2 linked regions of the Bombyx mori genome follow. The protein of the gene in region 2 purifies or fractionates together with the protein of the main gene of each other region. This does not show direct contact. Links are inferred from orthologs where the notes say so. Each region holds a gene or a part of one and is shown on either strand. Other genes may lie near its edges.

What was found. Proteins that work in one complex are often made in the same cells at the same time.
Region 1: the proteins of cytochrome b-c1 complex subunit Rieske, mitochondrial (region 2) and complex III assembly factor LYRM7 purify together in Homo sapiens (co-immunoprecipitation; 5 studies listed by BioGRID and IntAct, with this or other methods). This does not show direct contact. The link is inferred for Bombyx mori from reciprocal best matches to the Homo sapiens genes UQCRFS1 and LYRM7.

The regions. Positions count from the first base shown.
Region 1 is NC_085115.1:10,586,593-10,590,353, reverse strand, and holds complex III assembly factor LYRM7, read right to left. Parts: upstream 2,372-3,761; 5' UTR 2,031-2,371; coding exon 2,013-2,030; exon of another isoform or gene 2,005-2,012; intron 1,926-2,004; coding exon 1,782-1,925; intron 1,481-1,781; coding exon 1,399-1,480; intron 708-1,398; coding exon 592-707; 3' UTR 501-591; downstream 1-500. Other genes in the region: major facilitator superfamily domain-containing protein 9, read left to right, coding at 2,814-2,855, 3,451-3,582.
Region 2 is NC_085107.1:12,018,517-12,021,578, reverse strand, and holds cytochrome b-c1 complex subunit Rieske, mitochondrial, read right to left. Parts: upstream 1,669-3,062; coding exon 853-1,668; 3' UTR 501-852; downstream 1-500.

The sequences.
Region 1 (3,761 bases), on a different chromosome or scaffold from region 2:
TTGACTGAAGTTGTTTGACTGTAGAAAGTAAATAACGACTCTAATTGTTTAAAATATTGAATTGTCAATAATAATAATAATAATTGTCATCGATCCTTTTTATGTAGGTGTACCTACATACTTAATCCGACGGCCGACTTTTTTGAAGGGTGTCAAAATCACGGTGAAACTTCGATCAACATCGAAGCGGTAAAAGATACCGTTTACCGCGTTTCACATAGTGGTGAAAGGCTATTTGGTTTAAGCGACATTTCACGTAACATGCGACATTTATCTTTGTAATCATTAAAGGTTCGTTGATTTGGTATTAGCAACAACAATTCGACGTTTTTAATTGAATTTCAATTAAGTTTACCCCATTCAAATAGGTGAATATTTAATTATTTTTTTCTATTACAAACTTTAATTGGCCCTTCTGCAAAGTTGCAAAAATGTCACATAAACCAAACAGCCTATCACCCCTCGATATAATAAAAACATAGGAATCGTAATGAAAATAATTTTGTATCACATTCTGTTTATTTTTATTTTTTACATTACATTTGCTGTTCTATTCAAGATTGTATTGTTTTAACTAGCCTTATATATCTATTATTTGGTTTTATCTTGACAGCATGGTCGTGGTGCTTCTGTCCCATCTTCTAATATAGCATGATCATTGAAAGGTATGTTGTCTAATTTCACAGTGTCATCAGTAATTCTTGCTTCTGAAATTTTTATCCATTTGGATATTATTTTTGAAAATTTAATTATAAAATTAATTAAATAGGTATAAACAAAAAAGGCAAAAAGCTGAAAAGCTTTAATCATTCCTAAGGCTCAGAACTTCAGGAAATATAATTATTCTGTGATTGTTATCGAGTTACAGAGAAAAATAATTGTAATTTGATTGTGATTTTCAATTTGTTAAATGTTGTGAACTTGCTCATCGCAAGCCCATATCAGTTTAATGTAATGTTGTGCTTTAAAACATAAGATGTTCAGTGTATTATGGTTACTATAGTGGTGTTCAAACTCTTAAAAATTTATCAACTGTTTTGAGGAATGTATAACATTAGTTTGTGAATGACTTCCACAATGAGGGAATAACATAGAAAAAAATGAAACCTGCAAAATTTATACATTTGCTTAATCATTCACTTAACTGAGCAATAATTTTTTTTAAATAATTTTCTGAACTTTAGTCTCAGTTATTCCTGAGATAATTTTTTAATGTTTCGTACTATTGTGTACTAGTAAGGGTACTTGTTCTCCTTTTAATAAAATAATTGCTAAGTGTGGTTTGTACCCAGACACACAATGAACTGATTTGTTACCCAACACATGTGCTTAAGTTCATAATTAAAATAATAAAACATAATACATACTTATATTAAACTATAAGAAGTATGTACTTACCATAAACACCTGGTTTTATTTCTCGGGCTTGAATCACTTGAGTCCTTAATTCCCTTTCTATATCCTCTCCAAATGCAATCATCTGAAAATTAATAATAAGTTTATTATCCTTCTGTTACGCCACAGTTAATAAAATTATAAAAATACAACTGTCTCTTCTAAAAGATTGTGCATATCTGTTACCATTTGTATTATAATTTATTTATTTATTTATTTATTACACTTCTTAATGCCTAAGGCATTCTCTACCCGTCAACCAAAGGTAGTGCAGAGTAAATTCGTCTGATTTATAGAATATTTTTCTTTGATAGTTACGACTACAAGTACCTAATATTTAATTATTACTTAATGTTGTTTAACATAAAGCTATATTCACAAAGTACCGCTTTAATCGAGTTTTCATTTTGAACATTTTTGTTTTTGCGAAATTCTTCATTTATTTTTATTCGTGCCGCTAATAAAGCACGTTCGTCGCCTTCGAAGACTTTCATTCTAGTTCTGTGCAATTTCTTGAAGCTTTGTAAAACCTACAAATAAAGTAAACGTTATCCATGTGAAACAAGGCGATTTTAAAATACAAATTAGAAACGAATCACTAATGATTACATGTTTACCAAACGTCTTGTCATCATTTTCAGTTTAGTCTTTACTAAACCCCTGGTATAATATTTATTATTTAGTTAAATTTTCTTTATTGTTTGTTTACATAACGTTTTTTTTTTCTTCTTTTACCTAGTCAGTTAAGCAAGGGATACACGACAGATGGGGCCCATACGGTATCGGGCATCGGCTGTAGTTTTTCCATTCCATTAAATTTTTTTATTTAATAGTATGGGCCATACTAATGGCCAATTAAGACGAATTACGAAATGGTTTAAAAAAGTAAGTATATATATTTTTTATTGCCGTATAGGCAGACGAACATACGGCCCACCTGATGGTGAGTGGTTACCGTCGCTCATGGACGTCAGCAATGCCAGGGCCAGAGCCAAGCCGCTGCCTAAAAAGCTAGTTTTTTCAGTATATTGGATTTAAGACAAGATTTTAATATACTTTTGGAAGACTCGAGATAACATATCTAGCTATATTCTTTCACACTTATGAATTATTTGTATTCTTATTCTTATAACAAAGGTTATTTTATTTTATCTCACCTCAGGTAATACAATAATTTCACTTTTCAATTAACAGATTGTTCGGATATCGTTTTAAAGGATTTGTATGTATGGACTAGGTTCCCTCTACCGGTCTAATGAATAACCGAGTAAAATAAATCATACTTTGACGGTTGACCAATAACAATAGAATTTGTGATAGATATGTACATAGTTGACTAGATGCGTTGTCATCATAAATTAATGGGCTCGAAATGTAATCAGTCGTATATGTTGCTGCCCGTGTAAAATCTATTAATCATGCCTTTTGAAATCTGTTTACTACAAGCAATCTCTTTTTTGGTTTGTCTTTATTGCACATTTTCGATACTTGAAAAAAAAATTACATCAGACATGCACAATCTTGCCCCTTCTGTTTTTGCACTTTTAAAATATAGTATAGTATAGTATTAAATAGTTGTTAAACTCACAAGTTGTAATGTTTTGTGGGTTTTTCTTTCGGTGAGATCATGGTCTCCTACATCTATTTCATAGTATGAAATTCATACTAAGTGGTTACTGCAGCCCACTTCACGTCATAAATCATCTGAGACTGAGACCATATAGGGGTATCTTTTGTGTTGACACAAGATCAGCTTTCAAAGTACATACTTAAACTAAAACATGATTACTTTATGGTAAAAATATACAGAATGGTTGTTGGCCTTCTAGGAATTTTAAGGTTGACTAGGAATATTTTCATGAGGTGAGGATATTACTATGGATGGATCCAGGGCCTCAGGGAGACAACTAAATGAACATGAGGAAATTATTTGGTGTAGCATGCCAATGCTTATTTATTCTAACAAAAGTCCAATAGTCCTTAAAAACATCCATATGCCTCTCATTGGTCTTTATTTGATATATCATTTTCATTTTATATGTTAAATTTTTCTAGGATCTTTTAGCGGTGGGCCTTATAATTCCACTTGTACCTGGCCATGTGAGGAAAATGGGAGCAAACCACATTTATGTGGGTTTACTTGGTTCCATATATGCTGGTTTCCAATTGGGCTCGGGACCACTTATAGTAAGTGTCAAAATAATTACAATGAAATTGAACCTTAAAATCTTTTTAATGCTTTTGGTGGATGTAAGATCTTTTACTTAGAGATAGACTGTAACTGAAGCCTACAACTAGGTATATGAATGCTATCATCACTTTGAGATATGAGATTTAAATCTCAATGCTAAATGCTAGGTAGTTGG
Region 2 (3,062 bases):
TATGCATATAAAACAGTCAATATAAAAAAAATTCTGACTACACTGGTGGTAACACCTCTTGTGAGTCCGCACGGGTAGGTACCACCGCCCTGCCTATTTCTGTCGTGAAGCATTAATGCGTTTCGGTTTGAAGGGTGGGGCAGCCGTTGTAACTACACTGAGACCGTAGAACTTATATCTCAAGGTGAGTGGCGCATTTACGTTGTAGATGTCTATGGGCTCCAGTAACCACTTAACACCAGGTGGGCTTATCCGCACATCAAAGCAATTTTTTTTTATTAAATTGTATATCGTGTATCGTCTACTGATTTTTTTGAAGAAAACTAAGTTACTTTTGTTAGGCTACTTAAAGAATATTACTGCGATAAATATATATAAGCGAACGAGCAAATACGTAGCTAAATATTTGACAACTTTTGCAGCCTTTTAAGTATACCGCAATAACTTAATATTTTGCCTTCAAATTTGCGATTTAATCGGATGAATGATACATGAAGGCATAGATTTGTCATAATACTATTTATTAATCTTTAAAAAGCCATAGTCGCCATGCTTAGCACGATGGTTGACGATCGCAGTATACTGTTATCATACTCGAAGAACGCTTGTTCTTTGGAGAATCTCTAAGTCGGCTTTTACCCCAAGGGGTGAAGCGGGGAGGCACTATAATTTTTCGAGATTCAATTTAATAATATATTATGTTAATCAGTTTCAAATATTTTACTATAATAATGTAAAATTTAATAAAAATAAAAACAAAATTGACAGTGTGGTGTCGAATTAATTATGAGGACTTATATATCTGAATTTAAAATTTATTTATAATTTCAAGAGAAGTATTTGTTGACTAGTTTATCCTACAATTACTAGAGAGTCACTAACAAACTTATAAGGGGGAACCTCTAAATTCAAAGGCGCGGGTCCTTTGCGAGCTCTACCGACGTTATCGTAATGACTACCGTGGCAGGGACAGTAAAAACCTCCCGGATAGTCACCAGCATTTGCGATCGGCACACATCCCAAATGAGTACAAATTCCAATCACTATTAGCCACTCCGGGATCGTAGTACGTTGTTCCGGGGTCTCTGGATCGCGTAGAACCGACAATGGAGTCTTTGCCTCAATATCGATGTCTGCTTGAGTTCTACGCTTAATGAAAAGCGGTTTTCCACGCCATTTGTATGAGACACAAGCCCCGGGTGTGATTTTGGTCAGATCTACTTCTATCGATGCCATAGCTAACACGTCAGCGGCTGCGGCCATGTAAGAAATGAAATGTACTAGCTCGGATTTTACAGCATACGATCCACAGAGCAATCCGAAGAAGCCAATCGTGTAGGTCACTCCGGACTTCTCGTCGCCCGCACCCCATCTTGTCTTTCTCACATCCTTGTATTGATCTTTCCTGTACGGATTAAAGTTTGGGAATTCGATATCGCGGTGAAGACGAGGACATTCTTTGTGGTATCGCACTTGTACCCACATACTCAGACTCGGTATTTGCTCAAGATTGTTTCTACAAAATCTCGTTAGAGGTGCATCGCTTTTATTGACAGACGCTCGTTTTCGTCGCACCTCCCGTACAGTTTTTATACAAGTTAAATTCTGACAGCACAGCCCGGTCCAAAGATTAGGACAAATTGCACGCGCATTATTTAGAACATTCATTTTTTTATAATCAACAATCAGCTTAAAAGCAAAATGTCTCCATCGCAAAAAGTGTATTCAGAAAACGCAGGAAAGATAATTTAATAATGCCCGAACGGATCTTTTGACTTGTTGTCAATATCAGCAATAATTGTCATAAGCGGTACCAAGTTTTTTTTTAAAATGCCTAAAGAGTATTCACTTAGGATATATAGCTTACGTTCTGGGATACCTATTTTAAGACTAATAGAAATTGCACGCCTATAGATATATAAGGCACTGCTGATTTTCCGTCCTAAAATGAGCCTTTCTTACTCTTTTTTTTTTTCACTCGTTTGTCTCCGAGCTTCTATATCACGGCGATGTTATTCAGAGACTATTATTATTTAAATGATAGCAGAAATTTACAACGATACTAGTCAGATCACCTTTTCTTCTGGGAGTAATGACACCCTGTTAAGGTTTGAGTCATCGTCCATCAAAAACGACGTCATTACAAAGTGAGCAATCGATGACTTAATTAGATTCCTAAGGACGATTTATTATTGTTGCACTATAAGACATCGTCCGTCTGTGGCCACATCCACCTTACGTTTTGGTTAAAAGAGAGCCAAGGCCCAATGATGTAACACGTGAAAGTGCGCAATCGAAAGCCCCACTAGAGACACAACGTGCGTCCGAACAACACGCCGACCGGTTGGACTATCAAGTGAGTGATTAGCAATTATTGTATAACAGTTTACAATATTACAAAAAAATATCTCTTGTTTTTTTAAATTTGGAAACTTTCATTTTTATTTATTTAAAGTATCAAATTTCTTAATCGTTCGTCGAATTGAAAAAAAAAATATTTTATTTATTTATTGTGCACCTGCTTATTGCAAAATAATTTATAACTAACTTACGTTACGTTTATAAAGTCTACGTATTCTTTAGAGGCAATGTCTGATTTGCTAATTAAATTTCGTAGTTTATTCTAGCAAACGCTCCGCTGTTTTATTTTTCTTATAAATAGCTATTCGAACTTTTAAGAAAATGTAAATTGGTGCTGTTAACATAAAAAAAATACGTAAAAAGTAATTCCCCCAAACCACTTCCAATAAAGTACAAGGACAAGGAACTTTGATCTCATATAATAAACACAGGTATATTTAGGTGGAAGTGTTAATTCTATTCTATAACCGGTTTGCGGCATAAACAGGAGGGATGGTGATACAGGTGGCGGTAGATACAAAGTATACGTAGACATATTTTTTTTTTGCAACAAACACTAATTGTATAATAAATTTAGATTACTAGAAGATACACGCGCATCACCTCTCGTGTGTTGATGGCACTACGATAGAAACCTTCCCTGCAGTACCATGCCCACTGAGTTTCTCGCGGGATCTTCTCAGTGGGTCGCGTTTTCGATC